2 linked regions of the Rattus norvegicus genome follow. The protein of the gene in region 2 interacts with the protein of the main gene of each other region in a pairwise test. Links are inferred from orthologs where the notes say so. Each region holds a gene or a part of one and is shown on either strand. Other genes may lie near its edges.

Region 1 (5,571 bases), on a different chromosome or scaffold from region 2:
TCGAGGCTCTATGAACATTACTAACACTCTCAGGACTTAAATATGTTGTAATGCATGCAAAAATGAGTAATCAAAAAAGTTTGTAACAGAAATATCTTTAAAACACGAAAATGAAACTATATGCAAAACACGGTGTAAGCATCATTAATGCTGAAAGACGGTGCTCCAGGTCTTTTCACCTCTGAGCTGTGAGAGGCAGTCACTGTCTCTCGAAACAAACTATCTACTCCTTGTTTGTAAAAACAAGTCACTTTAGAAAAGGCACTTACTGAACTGATACTTGGTTATACAAGTTCAAACAGACAGGGGGCCTTTCCTAGGCATAGTACAGCACAGAGACTACTGAGCCCTCTTCATATCATCCTATGGGAATTGGGATTCAGAGAAATGTCAAAAGCATGGCATTATGGATTCTGATCCTACTGTGAGAAACTTTGTTATTGCTGGCCCAGAAGTAACACATTTCCTACCTGCGTCCACAAAAGTAACAAACTCATTTACTAACCTGATGCATGTACATATGTACATGCACAATTACTTAGAAGGTTTTTAATTTTTATACAAGCTCATGTGAAAAAAAATAAGAAATTTTATTACATTCTTCTAGGGAATGGCAACTTAAATATACAGGAAGAGTGTAAAACTTTTAATAGTTGCATCAGTAATACCATGCTTATAAACTATAATGTTGACATGTTTAGAGTCAATTCTCATCATATATGATAATTATATATTATTTAGTTGCTACAAATCCTGAATTCTTACAACAAGGAACACTCTGCCTACGGGAGAAACGGGGTTGGTTCCAGCAAGCCTGACACATTTTCAAGCAACTGACCAATAGTCCTGTTTTATGTGTCTTTGCTTAAAAACACTGTAACATTTGTTTCTTACGAATGACTCCAGGACTGTTAAAGAGTAAGAGCCACTGGCTTTAGAGGATGTTTTATCTAGGTTTGCCTGCTGATATTTTGTTTTTCTAAAGATACCTGCCGTACAGAACCTGTACTATAAGTACCATGTTTTTACATCATATCACCTTCTGAAACATGCAAGCCAGCCAGCATCAGCTGAGATGTTTATGTTTCTCTGGTTTTTTTTTTTTTTTTTTTTTTTTTTTTTGGTTCTTTTTTTCGGAGCTGGGGACCGAACCCAGGGCCTTGCGCTTCCTAGGCAAGCGCTCTACCACTGAGCTAAATCCCCAACCCCCGATGTTTATGTTTCTCTAGTGCCCACTGACAAGTCTTTGGCTTTCCTTAGAACAATGCAGGTCACCAGGCTTTACTGCCCATTGGTTCACCGTTTCACAAATTTTGCTGTTTACTGTTGTTCCTAATTTTGTGGTGTTTAAACAAAATCTCAGGCATTCGATTTTACCACAGAAGACTTGGGAGCCAGATGCTGGGGTGAGAGCATGACAGCTCAGAGAGGCAGAGAGAGCACCCAGCAGACCTTCCTCCTCAGCTGACAGCCCAAGCAGTCCCTACTCATGCAAAATCCCTTCCTCAAACTGAATGTCCTCCCTTCTACTGTGGATCCCTCTGTCCACCCTTCTGACTACCTCTTACTCTCCATAATTCTTTAATAATCTTATGCTCACTTCCTGTCAACTGGCTGCTTGTTCTGCCTCTTGACCTAAGGTTCAGCCACACCACAGCTAACCCCAGGTTTCCCCCCCCCCCCCAGTAAATACAACTAATCCCAGGGTTCACAGTGTGATTAAATACCCTACAACAGTATCTGCTCTTTCCAGAACAGCCTCACACACATCTGAACATGCTTCCTCTTCTCTTTCCGGATGGACCATTTCTGATTTTGAACGCTGTAACTCAACCGGATAGCATTGCAATTCATGCGTGTAAGAAGCCTATCTGGCAAGGAGAAAAGGCAGTATCCTTGCTCTCGGAGCACTAGAAAATACTTCAGCAATTGATTTGGGAATCATTTTAAACAACAAATTTGCCAACAACAAAAATATGGCTCTAAATAGACGGTGGACCAGTTTATAGAACCAGAAAGAATGAGAGAGAGAGAGAATATATAAGAGTTCTTATTCAACTTTGATTCCAAATACATGCACTAGGCAATTCAAATTCTTTAGCTATCCCATGTGTGTCTGTGAATAATCACAAATGTACTGTGAGTATCGACTTTGATCAAATAAACTTTATTAAGAATAGGTGATTAAGAAAACACAAAACTTTTAACAAGGACTATGTGCACAACTTTAACCACATCCATAGATTTAAACACACCACCCCCTTTAATTACTAACGATGTCCAACTCCACTGAACGCTGTCCACAGCCCACCCGTTACCTCCGATAATAGATGTCTGAGCGTCCACACGAGGCCCCTGACTTTCGAAAGGCCTCTCGGCGTTTCCAGCCAGGGCCCAGGGCTGGGCAGTCCTGCCAGGCCTCAGCCATAGATGCTTCAGAAGCCTGCAAGATTGGAAGAAGGTAAAGTATGGGGAAAAGTGGCCAATTATTTCCAGGCCACAAAAGCCATACGTTTCCTTTAATACTTAACCCCAGATTAGCACAAGTATGTCCTTGGTGCAGGAAATACTCCCAGTCTTTGACTTAACAGTCCCATCCCTCCTTTTTGTTCTCCTCCAAACATGCATATTACCCCTCCTCAGTCTGAGAAGACTTGTTCCTCCTACTCTGGGTAAGAGGCCCCCAATTCTTTCCTTCTCAGGATACTACACCAGTGTTCTAACCACACATTTAAACTTTCCTTCACCTGAATTTCCAATGTCTTGCAGTGCTCTAGCTGCATCTCTGTGTCTGAGTCCTGGATTCCTCCATACACTGGATCAAACATTCTTGCCATTTCTCAGGCTGGAAGCCTCTCATGTGTTCTGTTCCCCTTACGTTCAAGAGCTCTCCCCAAAGTTTATTTTTCCCTCACTTATTCCGATCCATAACTCCTCTCCAGTCTCAGTCTCAAATGACTCTATTGCTCACCCCTATGGCCAGTGTTAGCTACTCTTTCTCTTAACTGTACGTATCATTCTCCATTTCTCTTATCATCTTGTGAAACTTCCTTGTTCCTCCACAGTGACCTGCCTCTCTTATTTCTTAGCCTGTGTTCCAGGACAACGCCATAGCCTCCCAACCATCAGACATTCTACTTCCTTTTTGTTCGCCACGAGTCTCCAGTCCGTCCCTCATTATTCTAACCCTACTATTTCTACTGTCTCGAGGCCCTATCCTTGCATTATCAGCTTTGGGACCCCATTTCTATCCTGTTAACACGAAGGCCCAATGACTCTCTGAACGTTCTCTCTCTTCTTCTCCTGGCCATCCTGGTCCTATAATCTCAACATCACTGTCAATGTCCTGAGCCACATCTTTTCCTTTTCTGTCTTCTTATCCAGTCCCCCCAGTCCTCTCTTTCAATATCCGGAAGTAGCCATTCCTTCCCCTGACGTGAGGGCCCTTCGCGTCTCCCCGCTAGCGTTCGGCGCCTCCACAGACTCCTCCTGAGCTCTCGCCACTCCCACCGCTATCTCACCAGCTTGACACCAGGCTCGCAGCTTCCTCGGCTCTAGGCCGGTGGACCCATGGGAAGGATCCCGCTTGCGCGACCCGCCGGTTCTACTCTTCTTCTTCCTCCTCTTCCACCGCAGCCTCTTCCAAAACAGTAGTTGTCGCCTCTGCGGCGGTTGGTTAGTCCCGGAACCGGAAACCCAATGCTTGCCTTTGGGGCTCCGACTAGGACCAGCACCTGTGTGTGCAGCCTTGTCACGCGTGCCCTCAATGGGGAGGCTCCGCGCCTGCGTATTGCGGTTTCAGGGGCGCGCGGTTTGTCGGGAACCTGCAGCGCCTGCGCACTGACAACACCCGCAGCCCGCCGGGTCTCTCTTGACTGTGCGCCTGCGCACCGAGGATGGTGCCCAGTCAATGCAATCTTCCCTGCTGCTGGTCTCCAAAGTGGCTCCAGACACAAGGGGGCGTGAATTGCCTCGCTGGCTCGGCCCACTCTTAATTTACGTCTCCACAAAAACCACCAGCAACGAAGTTAAGCCTGTCCACTTCCTTTTCCCGGAGACACAGCTCCTTTGTTCCTGTGATTACCTTCTTCAGGACTGGTACCCACTTCGTGAATAGGATCACAGCACCCTGGCCAGGGTCCCTTCTTGGGAAACAAGGAGGAGGCGTGGTATGCAAGCAAATATAATGAGGGCGCCAAGGGAGAGATTGCCATTCCTCAGAGGCCCAATAGGAGAGAATGGTGAACTGACCAAGGTAATTTATTTTGCTTTAAGACGACTCCGTTTTGCGTGCTTCACACACCTGCTCCTCGGCACTGCTGTGTTATGTGTGTTACAGAGTTGGAGAGTTCCAGACGACTGGGAAAGATCACTCGATGAAATCCAATTAGCTGAATTTTATTAAGCTGGCCAGCTAACTGCACCCACCAGATCTAGATAAGAGACTGAAACCCAGGCTAAAAGGGAAGGGGGAGTTTTAAAGGCAAAACCACAATTGGTTCATTTATGAGGAATTTGTAGCTATGTGAGAAAATGCTTTTCTTCCACCTTGCATACAACCATAAGCATGTTTAAAGAAGTCAGAGCTAGCAGTTAATCACTGCACAGTAATTACACATTTTGGGGACATGGATAAAGAGACTTTGAGGATTCCCTGGAGTTGTTTCCAGGTTCTGCTGATAGACTGAAGCCCTGAGGTAAAGTAAAGCACACCTGAGGAAAGTGTCTTGATTTGGGCCACACTACATTCTCCACTGGTTCTGAATCATGTGGATCAAATCACTGATTCATATTCATGTTGGGCTAAATGGTACTATTTTGCCCGTAGGAACTCAGAAGTCACAAGTTTTGGTTCCTTAGGGCTAACATAAAGCTCCTAAGTCTGTTGATCCAGCCATTCCTGTCCTTGTAAGGAGAAGAATGAGAATAGCGGAGCCCACCCTCTTGTTTCTACTGACAACTCTGGCAGTCAAAAGGTGTTTTCTACCTTCAGCCCCATTGTGTGTAACACACACACACACACACACACACACACACACACAACTTTTGTTTACTATTGATAAACAATCAGGGGCCCAGAAAGGGCAATGTTATCATTTGACTACCTGCTGAATGGGGGCATCAAAATCCTTGGGGAGAAGAACTTAACCTTCACCATCAGGGTATATAATTGAGAGTCTCCTGGCCCCATAGGTAAGGTAAATCCTGTAATAGACACTGTTTACAGAGTCTGGTTAGAAATCTTTTGGATTTATTGTTGAAGAAACCTAGACAAGAAGTTTATAAAGGAAGGTGCAACTAGAAGGCCTTAGGAGGAGGAGGGTTAAGAAGGGTAGTATGCAGTTCCATACTAGACAGTCGATGATCCACTGGCCAGAGACACTGAGTCATTTCTTACTTTTTTTTTTTTTTTTTTTGGAGATCTTTCTGGAGTTGTCAGATCTTGTCTTTTTACCGTAACCAACTGGTTGACGTAGAAGCATCATTCTTCTCTGAGAAAGACCCAAAGATACCTTTCTCTGCTGGTAGTAAATCCTACCCTCACCGATTTTGTAGCAATATGGTGGCCAG
Region 2 (5,512 bases):
TTATAGACTTAAAAGTATTAGTTAGTATGTAACAGGGATGAACCCAAACTTAAAAGGTCTGCTTGCCCCTGCCTCTCAAATGTTGGGAATGAAGGTATATGCCACCATGCCCAGCTACAATTTATTTTTATTTATGTGTATGCCTGTGTGTTTGTGTGCATGGTGTGTACAGAGGCAGGAGGCATCAGTTCCCCCCAAATCTGGAGGTATAGGCGGTTGTGAGGCACTGAAGGTAGGTGCTGGGATGGGAACTCTGGTCCTTTGTACAAGCAGTGGGTGTTCTTAGCTGCTGAGCTGCTCTCCTTCCCCGCAGATTTTACATTTTTGTATTTGCTGTGTATACACCTGCCAGTCCACATCGACACATGGTGTGTCAAAGAACAGAAAGACTCGCAGGAATCGGTCCTCTCAGTCTCCTTGCAGGTTCTAATGACAGAGCCCAAGTGGTCAGGCATAATAGCAAATGCCCTGACCCTTGTGCCCGCCCATCAGCCCCCAGAGGCAGTTTTCATGAGTGGGGAAGGCTTTAGGGAACCTTCAGCTAACACACAGGTACTCCCTATAAACAGTCCACAGTGAACAAGCCAGTCCCACAACAAATATTTGGCTTAAAATAGCAACACTGAGCAATACTACCCTAGGTTCAGCCCCTCCTGAGTTCCTCTGAGAACCTCACTCAAAAACTTGTAGTATGTCTTACGTAATTATGGCCCTTCTAGGTCAGTTAAGGCTCAACTGCCCAAGAGTGTCCCAAAAGTCAAGTGAGGGCTGACGAGATAGTTCAGTAGGTAGGGAGGGGCACTTTCCAAGTCTACTGACCACCTGCACTCAATCCCCAGGATCCACATAAGTGATCCCCCACTTTCTCTACACGCACGCACGCACAAACACTCACTCACTCACTCACACACATACACACACACAGAGTGAGTGTGACTGGACAAATGGATTAGAAAGTAAAAGCACTTGCTGTTCTGGTCCCTGCATCTGGATCCAACAGCTCACAACCACTCAAAGTCCAGTTCCAAGGGATCCAGTGCCCTTTCTGGTCTCCATGGGCACCTAGTTCACGTGCACACACACAGACACATAAAATAAATCTTTAAACAAAAACTTTTTTTAAGTGAAGGCGTCATACTCTTGAATAGATGAAATGAACATATTTTGGAGCAGAAACTACACTCTGTCAAGACACAATAAAGAACCTGGGGTTAGGAAGATCTAAGTTCCATCCCTAGCCCTGCATAAGCCAGGGCATGAGGACACTTGGCGGTTGAGGCCTGCCTGGGCTACATGGGGACCTGGTCTAAAAGTAGTAACTACAAAAAATAAACAAATTAAAGACCTCATGAGAGAGAATATTTCCCACTAAAATAAATTTAAAGCCTCAGGAATATGTAAGCACATCAAACTCACATATATCGGACCATAAATAGAGCCTATCTTTTTGTTTGTTTTGAGACAGTGGCTTCCTACATAGCCTTGACTATCCGGAACTGAACTTGCTTGAACTTGCTATCTATATATCAGGTTGGCCCCAAACTCACAAACATCCACTTGCCTCTGCCCCTGAATGCTGGGATTAAAGGCATGTGACACCACACCCAGATTAGAACCTGTCATTAGGTAAATGATTTTAAATAGTTGACTTGGATGGACAAGAAGTCCATTGGTAATTTGGGGAGAATTCACATACACTTTGCTAATGTTACATGGAATTCAAACTTGAGCTTTCCTACAACCTCAGCTGCCCAGAGGGGAAACAGCCCATGCACACCAGCTTAGAGACTTGGACCCCCAGAACACAATCCCTTCTTCTCATTTGAATGGAAGAAAGGTAACATCATCAGTTTTCTATTTAAAAAAAGTATTTTGTGGTAGAGTGCTTGCCTAGCAAGCGCAAGGCCCTGGGTTTGGTCCCCAGCTCCGAAAAAAAGAAAAAAAAAGTATTTTTTTCTTTCTGAAGGGCATTTTTTTCTTTAAAATTCATATTCTACTTTAATTACTTTATTGGAGAGGCTTGTGGAATTGATTCTCTTCTACCCAGGATACAATTCAGGTGGTCAGAGGCCAGATCAACCTGGACTTCATCATCCTTCTGCCTCGGCTTCTAGGATGCTGAACTGCAGGTATGAACTACGAAACCAAACTTGTCTTTATTGCCAGAGCAATAAAAATAGTGTTGGTTTTAAACGTTCCACGTTGGTTAAATAAAAACTCTCCATGACAGTCCGGGCAGTTGTATGAATATTAATCATGTCCATGTAAAATTCAAGCCAGTCAGAACAACACAGTGTGTGTGTGTGTTGAGGAGCATATCTTTGATGATCAGAATTGTAAAAGGGGGCCAGAGTTATTCCAGAAGTGGATGGAGACTGAGGACGCTGCTCACCGTCCCTGAGGCTGGCCATCCCCAATCCTCCTCATATCCAAGCTCCGCAGACTAGTATAATGTACCCAGAAGGTCTGTCTCGTCAGTAGTGCTCAGCTGGAGAAATCTTAGTCCTCATCCCTTCCAGTTCCTCAATCATTCAACCAACACTGGGGGTACAATTCATTGTCAAGCAGTGGGGACTGGGCACCCCACATCTAGGGAAGCCTGCCGCATGCTACAAAGACTAATACATACCAGACTGGTCCATATCACACTCACAAAGGACCCCTTTCAGGATCCAGAAAGGGTTCCTGGCTATGCTTAACCACCCAAACCGACCTTCCTTGGTTAGCCCTGCCCCGCACAGTGTCGGCTACCCTGATGTCCAGAGCTCAGTGACCATTAGCCTCAATTTCTCCGCCCATTGCAAAGGTCCGAGTTGCTCTGGTACTCACAAACGCACTTAACAACTAATTTTCCTTCTCCTTGCCCTCAGTTTCCCCACCTGCTGCTACAAGATCCAATTGATTTCAAGAGGACATATGCATTCAGAACCCATCAAAGCCGCCCCCGGGGCCTCAGTTTCCCCATTTGCTCCAAGTCCTAGCTATTGAGGCGACACAAGATCCCTTTGGGAGCTTGCAAAGCTGACTCTTCCCCCTCCCTGGGGCCTCAGTTTCCTCTATAAGAGTTCTCCCTTCTCCCGGTCTCCGTCCCGAGGCCACCCGGACGTGGCCCGCTCCTTCAAGCTGCGGCTGGGCCGCAGCTTCACCCACCGGCGGCTCTCCGCGTCGCGGCCTCCGGCTCCTCCAGCATCCCGGCGGCGGCGGCTCAGGCTTCAGTCAGACGGCCCAGCTGCACACTCCGCCTCCCGACGGTGTCGCTTCTGCTGCCGCCGCGGCCGCCGCGCTCGTATTTGGCGGGAACCGCGGCAATCACCGCGGCCCGCGCGCCCATTGGATGAGATTGCATCACGTGACAGTTAAGCCTCAGGAAAAGAGGAACACTCAGCACGTCCTCGCGAGAACTTCGGCTTCTGTGTCTGAAAATCCCGCGGGAGGCGGATGGAGAAGGGCTCCTTTCCGGCGGTTCAGGAGTGGCCGAGAAGATCCGCATTTCCTATTGGTTCTAAGAAATGTCAATCTAAAAATCAGCGTTTGGCCACACCCACACCCCTTTTATTGGCTATATGCGTTCAAGGAGGTGGGACGGCTATGTCTAGAATGGAAGTGACAACTTGAATGAGGGATTAGAAGAGTAATGGGAGCTAAGGTATCCTAATTAGTGAAGGGTTAAAAGTAGCTACTGTAATTAAAGTTGAGGATCACTTCCTTTAATCTTACATTAATTCCCTTTTTAACTATAGACTTTTAAATATAAGTTACTTTTTTGAAATGATGAACCACTTTTTAATAAATTAACGATTTGCTTTATTTTTTTAAAGATTTTATTTATTTATTATATATAAGTACACACTGTAGCTGTCTTCAGATACACCAGAAGAGGGCATCGGATCTCTTTACAGATGGTTGTGAGCCACCATGTGGTTGCTGGGAATTGAACTCATAACCTCTGGAAGAGCAGTCGGGTGCTCTTAACCGCTGAGCCATCTCTCCAGCCCCTGCTTTATTTTTAAATTAGGAATATTTTCTATTGTAAAATTATAAGTGTTTTGAACTGTAAATTCCTTTCATGTGAATTACTTTGAAGAAATATTAATTGAAAAATTATTGATTCTGGTGCTTTTAATCCTAGTACTTGGGATTTACAAGCAGGTAGATCTCTGAGTTCAAGGACATCCTGGTCTACATAGCAAGTTGCAAGACAGTCAGTGATACAATGTATCAAAAAGTAATTGGCTTTGTTTTTGTTGTTGTTATTGTTGTTTTTCATTTGTTTTGTTTTTTGTTTGTTTGTTTTATTTTGTTTTGTTTGAGACAGAATCTCACTATGTAGCCTTGCTGGCCTGGAACACAATCACCAGTTTCTAAAACTTTTGTAAGGTGAGGAAGAAACCTTTCCCTTCTTCACCTGCAAACAGCTCAGGTGCCTGCAACAGTTCTTTTCTTAAAGTTGTGGCTAGTAAGTGGGTTATTTGGCTAATGAATTAGTTATATGAATTGCTTTGGGCCAGGGGCTCAAGAAAGGTAAGGAATGCTCTAGTGTCAAGGACCTCATCAAATCCTTGACCTGCTGCAGAATATAATTTGACTGAATTGTGTAGGTCTCCTGGAGCCAATCTTGCTGTCAAGCACCTGTCAGCCCTGTATTTGGGAGGTGAAGGCAGAAAGATTAGACGTTAAAGGCCATGATAAGCTAAGTACCAAGTTTGAAGCCAGCCTTGGCCATCTCACAACATATGTAATAAAGAACACCCTTGAATGAGTCTTGTGAGCATGCTAGAAATCCCTGGCTATAGCCACCAGTACTGTTTTTGAAAGGAGACATGGTGTCCCAGGCCTGTTACTGCAGCACTAAGAGAGGTAAGGCCAGCTTCTGCTACATGAGACCCTGTCTCAAAAAACCAAAAAACCAAATGAAACAGAAACTACTCATACCCCAAACTATAAAAACTCCTGTATTCAGGAACAGTAAAGATGGCATATACATATTTTTGATCTACTGCAGTGCAATCCTTTGAGTCATTTGGAACCTTCTAGAAATCTTTGGATTCATGAAATCACCCCAACTTTTCACCAATTTCAACCTTAACCATTCTTCTGTTTATGCTTTAAAATCTATTTACTCATTACCTCCGTTTATTATCAATAATAATTAAGTCATGCTAGCCTGGTCTGTAACTGGTTATATAATCCAGACTGGCCGTGAACTCACAGAGATCCATGTGCTCTGCTTCTCAACGTGCTGGGGTTAAAGTTGTGTGCACTGCCATATATGGTATAGTCTATATACTTTTTGAAATCTGTAACAGTTGCTAGAAGGGTTAAGGTCCATATGTCAATCTGAGGAGGCTTCATTGAAGAGATATTGACTTAGTTAGGGTTTTACTGCTGTGAACAGACACCATGACCAAGGCAACTCTTTTTTTTTCTGGAGCTGGGGACTGAACCCAGGGCCTTGCGCTTGCTAGGCAAGCGCTCTACCACTGAGCTAAATCCCCAACTCTTAGAAGAACAA

The links. The genes of interacting proteins can lie anywhere in the genome.
Region 1: the proteins of Chaf1a (region 2) and Mbd1 interact in binary tests that used the Homo sapiens proteins (3 or more experiments, as listed by UniProt). The link is inferred for Rattus norvegicus from reciprocal best matches to the Homo sapiens genes CHAF1A and MBD1.

What each region holds. Positions count from the first base shown.
Region 1 is NC_086036.1:70,143,335-70,148,905, reverse strand, and holds the start of Mbd1 (methyl-CpG-binding domain protein 1), read right to left. Parts: upstream 3,655-5,571; 5' UTR 3,522-3,654; intron 2,444-3,521; 5' UTR 2,429-2,443; coding exon 2,319-2,428; intron 1-2,318. UniProt on the Homo sapiens protein: Transcriptional repressor that binds CpG islands in promoters where the DNA is methylated at position 5 of cytosine within CpG dinucleotides. Binding is abolished by the presence of 7-mG that is produced by DNA damage by methylmethanesulfonate (MMS).
Region 2 is NC_086027.1:958,978-964,489, reverse strand, and holds the start of Chaf1a (chromatin assembly factor 1 subunit A), read right to left. Parts: upstream 3,266-5,512; 5' UTR 3,191-3,265; coding exon 3,151-3,190; intron 1-3,150. UniProt on the Homo sapiens protein: Acts as a component of the histone chaperone complex chromatin assembly factor 1 (CAF-1), which assembles histone octamers onto DNA during replication and repair.